Linked DNA regions of Xenopus tropicalis. The protein of the gene in region 1 interacts with the protein of each later gene in a pairwise test. Links are inferred from orthologs where the notes say so. Each region holds a gene or a part of one and is shown on either strand. Other genes may lie near its edges.

Region 1 (3,832 bases):
CCTTTAAGAGGGGCCTGGATGAGTTCTTGATCAATCAGAATATCCAAGGCTATTGTGATACTAATATCTACAGTTAGTACTAGTGGTTGTGTATATATAGTGTATGTATGTGAGTGTATAGATTGGTAGGTGTGGGTTAAGTGTGCTGGGTTTACTTGGATGGGTTGAACTTGATGGACACTGGTCTTTTTTCAACCCTATGTAACTATGTAACATAAAATATGGCATTTTTATCCATATTTATTTTAAGGGGTTAGTTCTCCTTGAGGGCCTATTTTCAAACCCAGTCAAGACCTGTTGGCTCCAAAACATGTTTAAAATGTATATAGTAACAGATTACATGGATAGTCAAATTATATAACAGAAAATAAATCTTACTTTGTATATGTACGTCTGTAGAGAAATATTTACAATGAACAATGAATCCTCAATGGACAGAATTCTCCTTATGTGTCTTGTTCTGTTGCTCTATGGCGGCATTTGTGCTTTAATCACATGGGAGAATATCAGCCAAAAACACTTGTCAGGGAACGTTGCAAGTCTCTTTCCCAAGGGGGCACTTGCTAGTTGCTCCAGTAACACCTAGCCCTGATATCCAGTCCTGGCATGGTTCCTGACCCTGCATGGCAGAACTGGATGCCATATATACAAGGGCTTGTGCACCACACATTTTGATCAAGCTGAACCCCTTACTTTTCTGCAATTTGAACCTTTATCACTTGTATTGTTAGTGATATATGTTGATTCAAGGTCAACAGTGAGATAATGATTGAGTATGAAAGTCATACCTAGGAATATTCTTCCAAGAACCCAGGGGAAGAACCTCACGCAGCACTTCTGACCCCAAAATGTCTTTCTTATGACTGTCCTGGATAATCATTATTGTAATACATTTGAAGTATTATAGTACATGATATATAAAAAATATGTGAGATAGATAGATAGATAGATAGATTATACACAGAAAGTCACTTCTGGCCTCCAGTTAATCAACCCTGACATGGATAGACGCCTTTATGTTTTAAAAGTAAAAATAATTATTTTTTTCTTCAGTCTAACCCCTCCTTATATTCTTTTAAATAGTGCCCTTTGCTTTCTGCTCTTTAGCTCTTATAGAGTCCCCACTGTGAAGGAGATGTATTTCCAATGCTGTATTACAGTTATATAACATATATAATGTACACAATCACTAACAAATTTGACCAGAGAACAATTTATCTTAATAAATGATAAAAGGAGTAGACCATGTGATACCATTGGTGTTGCTAGATATTTGTATATAGTAACTTGCAGTAACTGGGAGAAACATTGAGATTTATCTGAACAGCAATTAATTCTCATAGAACATTCTGCCTTTCTTGTGCTAAAGGCTTGGGAAACCATCCGTATCATACACATATGTATGAAGCAGCTAGTGGTTTGATATTGGAAGCCTGGAATGCCAAGGTCTTCTGGATTTGTAGATGTCTTAGCTAATGATCTAGCACAGTGCTGTGCAACTGGTGGCCCATGCCCCCCTCTTTGTTTGGCCCCCACTAAAGTCTGGCTGCTGTGTTTGCTTACCTTTGTGTAAGATTTAAATGGGATCAGTACTGAGATTAACTGGCCACTGCGTTGTTCACACCTCAGATTCAGGCTGTAAGCCCCTGTACTATTCACACATGTAAGCCCTTGCATTGTTCACACCTGTAAGCTACTGCATTGTTTACATCTGTACCACTCTTCATTGCTCACACTTGTGAGACCCTGATAGGTTTCCTTGTTTCATGCCTTTCTTTGTCTGTGCCTGCTCTGCCCTCCCTGTGTGTGCCTCACTCTGCCTGCCCTATGCTGCCTGTGTGTGTCATACTCTGCCTGCCCTATGCTGCCTGTGTGCGCCATATTCTGCATGCCCAATGCTGCCTGTATGTGCCATACTCTGCCTGCCCTATTAATATGACTTTATAAACTTTTTTTATTTACATATGAGTGATATCCCTGCAGTGAACACCAACCATTTGGATTTTTGGTGTGCTACCACCATTAATGTGGATATGGTCTTAAAAGGTCTTTGATAACATGGGTGTGGTTTAAAGTAGGTATGGTTTAAAAAAGAAAGTGGTCAAAACTGGCTTCCATTATTGGCCCTCAACCATGTAGGTCAGAAAAATTATGGCCCTCAGTTACCATGGATATTAAACAGCACTGATCTAACAGATGTAATGTTAGAGCTGTGTACTTAAAATGTCAGGGCCCATGTATACAGAACTGCATCTACAGTCCAATGTCGATCCCACCAATTCTTGCCAAAAAAGATTTTCCAGCCTTCCAGAACAATAACCTTACTAAACCTACTCAGCAAGTGAGTGAGCCTGCAACTTACCAGTAGTGAATGGTAAATGTTTTCCTGTGGCTTATGTCACACAGGGCTATAAACAACTGCTATTTGGAGCTGCCTACGTTTCATTCTTTCCTGAGAGTGCATATAGAAAACCTGTTTCAAACAATTTGGTAACTACCCATTGACTCACTTTTTTTGCTGCCTCTTTGCTCATGAGACCCCAATAGTTCTAATGTGGTAGGGTCAAGAAAAGGTGCACGAGTTCAAGTGTTTTTTCAAAACATCTAAAATTAACTTTTGTTTATCCCTATGAGAATCACCTAAAAGTGCAAGCCCCACCACTTGCAGAATACACCCAAAGACAAGCACTCCCACTGCATGTTAAAAAACCATACAACAGTGTTAATAGTGCTATTATAGTCATATAAGTTTTTCTTTGTTTTTCTTTGTAATTTTAGATTTCACCAGTACTCTTCATTTACATGATGCTGAATCCAAGGAACTACCAGGAGATGAAAATGGCTTGTCTTACACATATCTGTCTTCTGATAAGCACTCTCATACAGATTCCACCTACTTTACTGGTATCTCCAAGAAAGGAACTGAGTCCCCAGACATAAAGGAATTCAGCGGTGTTGGGCCTCGATCACCCAAGGAGATACCAACATTTGATTCTCGTGGGTTACTTAGTTCGGATTCAGGAATAGAAATGACACCTGCAGAATGCAGTGAAGTGAATAAAAGCTTGGCTGACCCCACAGAGGAGGAAAAACAAGAAGCTTACAAATATATAGATATTAGCAGGTCACCAGACATGAAACCACAACAGGTTCTGGACAAGGATTTTGGAGAAAATAAAGCAAGCACCATAGGCCAGGCTGCTCCTACTGAACAACAAGCTTATGACAGTGTAACAATGTCTTGGCAAAAAGACCATTACAATGGGAACATATCTGAATATTTGCCCTATGTACCATATATGGAAGAACCAAGAAAAGACTTTGGCTTATATAATTCACCAACATCCAAAGAACCCAAATCAGCACCTGTGACAATTAGCTTTACTGGGATGGAAACTACATTACAAACAGAGTACCCAGAAAATCAGCAAGGCAAATCAGATAAAGGCTTAAAGCTAAGTCCTGATATGGTACCAACTGTTACTGTTTCAGAGCCAGAAGACAACAGTCCAGAATCTATTACACCCCCATCCACAGATGCAGGTAACAAGTTTTTGAACAAAATGTTTGGTCTAAAGCAGATCGTAAAAAATAATGACCACATGTGACCTACCAATAGGATGAACTGCCACAATTTGCCAACTGTCTGTGTTATGGTGCCTGGTTCTCCCTAAAATCTTACTGGTGTAATATCAGCAGTACACTCTTTAAAGTTAAACTATAGACCCATGTTCAGCATGAGCCAATAATAAGGCTGGTGTTGAAATGTTGCCAGGGGAGTATCTCAGTTATGGATTTAGAAATTATAAATTTCTAGCAGTTGTGATTAATC
Region 2 (3,832 bases), on another chromosome or scaffold:
AATCACCTGAACAAAAAAGTGATTACAAGGTGAAAATGTTTTTCTGTAAGAAACCGCAAATATGTTAAAATCTTTTATCCAGCTTGTGTTAAATTTTATTATAATCTTTATTAGCACTACACAGAGAAAAAGTGTACCTTAAAAGTCTGCTGCCTGCAGGAAAGTGAGGTTTTAATTTTTTCAAGCATAATGAGTTGGCACAAATGGCAACCAAGGATTTTTTTTAAGGATGTAGATCTATTTCCCAGTGTTTGTGTGGTTAGCTGACTTTCCACTATGGAATGCAGGCTGAAAAATTCCTGTGAGCTTGCTTGATGAGCTTTATTTCTTGGAAGTGTTGCATTCTGCAGTTATCTTGGTGCTTGGGGGGGGGGGGTGATAGTGGCCTCCAAATAGGAATGAAGGAATGTGAATGTTTTTCAAATTGTTTGGAACTGGACAAATGAGATGCTCATTCATTTGATACTTCTAGTTTTTTTTTGTTTTTTTTTTTATATTTTAACATTATGCCCAGTAGTATTGTGTGTATGTATGTATGTATGTATGTATGTATAGATAGATATATAGATATAGCTATATAGATATATATAGATATAGATATATATAGATATATATTCACACATGTATTCATGCTATATATTGTTGCTACACAGTTTCTCTTTCCTTAAGTAGCTAAAGGCATTTGCTTCTTCGCTAACATTTGTTTAATTATCCTACTTTGCTGACGTTAACAAAACACTCAAAGCAATTACAGACTTGCTGTCAAGGGACCAACATCCACTGGCATTGTGCGTTTCCTTAACTGACTTTCTTCTGTGCCAGGGTTTATTTATTGAATTTTTTTCATCTGCTTAATATGGCTGAAATGAGTAGATTTTTTTAAAACATATTTCATAGAAATCAGAGGATAGATTTGCACTGAAGTAGTAGTTTTTTTTTTTCTTACATTTGTGTTCAAACAAGGTCTTTCCATATTTTATAACAAGGTGATTTTACTTTAAAGAGTAGCTTTAAATGTAGTATATAATGTTTGTTATAAGGGCTATGGCACACAGGACTTAGCAACTACCAGTTTAATGAGCATCATGAATGCACTATTACTGGTACTTTTCAGCATTTGTGGGCTTATTTTAATAGCGCATACTGCACTTTTAAGCATCCTTGGAGCTGGTCTTATTTTTATTACATACACTGTGCACTGATGCAAACTATAAAATTAGCAATCATACTTCCACCTGCAGATGTGGTCGCCAAACAGTTTCTGGGTTTGCAGAAGCTATATTTAATTCACGCAAAAGCAGAATTCTTTGCTCAAAGCAATGAATTTTCGCATTGCAAATATTTTTCCCATTAACAACTTTTAATTGTACATCTTCCCCTCAGGCTGATAGCTTTGTTGCCATTAAATATAAAGAACTGATGTGATATGCAACAGCAAGTAAGTACCTTTCCCCAGTGAATCAGATTGCTATCTATGCACACAGTTCTGGGAAAGAGAGATCAGTACTTTCCCACCCCACTTAACAGCTGCACATTTTTCTTATTTCATTTGCACACTGACCAATCAACACCATGCTAGTTTCTGAATCCTAAGCAGTGGATGTGGTAGTGGAACCTACATAGTTATGTATTATGCTATTCAGGGAGAGGAATTTTGTATAAAATTTTGTTTCGGACATCTCTGAAGCTAATATTGGTTAATTTAAGAAAGTTGGATTAGTAACATTTTGCACAAAAAGTGATAGTAGTATCCTGCTATGGCATTCCCCTGAAACCTCTTAAAGTGATTTTTGGAGATTTTTGTTGTGAAACTAGTTCTGCCAGGTGTATGAATCTTTCCAGGCATTTGACATAGCAGGAATTGTGGCGGCTAATAAAGTGTGTTTTGGACCTGTCATCAGAGCCATGTAATTGCCCCGGTATTATGCCTTTACCTTATTAGGATTAAATGATGAGGCAGACAGAATTGCATCAAAGTTCCTTTTCACAATGCACAAAGACTCTTAAATGATGTCTGGTTTGAAATGGCACAGTAGTCTTTTAATATTTTAATATGCAGTCAAGTAATGGAAAGTTAGCATATTGTAAAATTTATTTTTTAACCTTGATTGACCCAATCTCAGGGGTTGCAGTGAGATGGAAGACCACAAAAGAAAAAACTAATAAGGTATAGGGAATACAAAGGAAAACTTTGTAGGGGTAAAATAGTATAAACACTGGTTGACAAACTTAAAGGACATGTAAAGCCTACATTTGCCTACAATGTATATCAGTTGGGCAGGTCTCCCCCACCCAAATGGCATCATTTGTACTGCATAGATCCCCTCCGTTTGCCAGCACCATCACATTTTCCTAAAGCAAATAGCAGCTTTCACCCGGTGGCCATTTTCCCTCTGATACATAATCCGTTACATTTAAATCTGCAAACAGCGTACACACACACAGACCCTTATTCAGCATACATTTCATCAAGAATGCAGGCTCACACAGGCAGAACTGTCTTTGATAAAAGGTCTGCTGTTTGAGCTGAGCAGACAGCTAGAGCTGAGTTTCTATGGGAACCAGCAATGCCATCTCTTCACTGGCTGCTAGACTGGGGGGCGTGTTTAGTAATCTGAGTTTAGAACAACTGAGCATGCCCACAAGCCAACAGTCAAAGCAAATTCCCGAGGGAGGGGGCCGAGTGGGTTACAGGAGGAGAAGGAAATCTAAGTGATTAAGGGCCTTACTATTAACCTCTGGACAACCAGGGTGGCAGGTATTGAAAGATTTCAAATAGGCTGTTCACTGATTACATTTTTGCGTGTGAGGTTTACATGTCCTTTAAGAAAAAAGGTTGGTTTTTGCCTTATTTGTGTTTTTTTTAAATTCAATATGCCAACCCCATATGTGATTAAAGGCACTAAGTTTGCCCAGGAGCAGTAACCCATAGCAACCACCTTTTAAACAGGTGACAAGTAAATGCTACTTGCTGATTGTTTGCTATGGGTTAACGTTTTGGCAAACTTGTGCTTGTATTACATAACACCTTTGGTGTCTGATTCTGATCTATTAATTATTATACATATCTTTCAATCTTTAAGGTACCACATTTTTAAAAAGTTTTTATTCTCTTTTCTTATTACAGAAGGCTACACCTGAACAAGAAGGTATCTGACAAGCAGCCATACAGCAAACTACCTGGTGTTTCACTTCTTAAACCACTGAAAGGAGTCGACCCCAACCTTATCAATAATTTGGAGACATTCTTTGAATTGGACTATCCAAAAGTAAGGAATCATTAGGTTTTGCTTGATCTGTTGTATCTGAAGCATAGTTATTAGTTGGGTGCTTCAGAAGAATTCACAATTGGCTTATGGGGAAACTCTTTTTTTCCAAGAGAGCCATTTTTCTTTGTTTTGTACAAGACTTCCACTGGTTGCTAGGGATTAAAGTTTATTTAAGTAATCAGATAAAAGAACTAGCAAGAACTATATGTATGTTTAACTGTATCTGTATGTTTAAACCCAAATAAATAGATTTTTATGGTAGACAGGTGACATTTCACTAAGCAAAATGTGCAAATGTACATTTGTAAAGATGTTATTTGAAAGTAGCTATATTTAATACTTTAGCTGATGTGTAAGAGCTTGCCCTGCAGGCTTTAGAACAGCATTAGTTTTAACAACTTTCCTTTCTGTGCAAACCTTTTATGCATGTTTTGCCAAGTCAAATATTAGAGCCACGCCTTTCGTTAACATTGCTTCTATTCAAAAAGGCCCATAAGGCTTCATTAGAGCAAGCAGCTAACCTTGTAAGAATGATCAGTAATTAAAGGGAAGAAAATGCTGTT

Evidence for each region.
Region 2: the proteins of rtn1 (region 1) and ugcg interact in a two-hybrid assay, tested with the Homo sapiens proteins (2 studies listed by BioGRID and IntAct). The link is inferred for Xenopus tropicalis from reciprocal best matches to the Homo sapiens genes RTN1 and UGCG.

The regions. Positions count from the first base shown.
Region 1 is NC_030684.2:102,880,724-102,884,555, forward strand, and holds part of rtn1 (reticulon-1), read left to right. Parts: intron 1-2,778; coding exon 2,779-3,543; intron 3,544-3,832. UniProt on the Homo sapiens protein: Inhibits amyloid precursor protein processing, probably by blocking BACE1 activity.
Region 2 is NC_030677.2:108,022,313-108,026,144, forward strand, and holds part of ugcg (ceramide glucosyltransferase), read left to right. Parts: intron 1-3,127; coding exon 3,128-3,269; intron 3,270-3,832. UniProt on the Homo sapiens protein: Participates in the initial step of the glucosylceramide-based glycosphingolipid/GSL synthetic pathway at the cytosolic surface of the Golgi.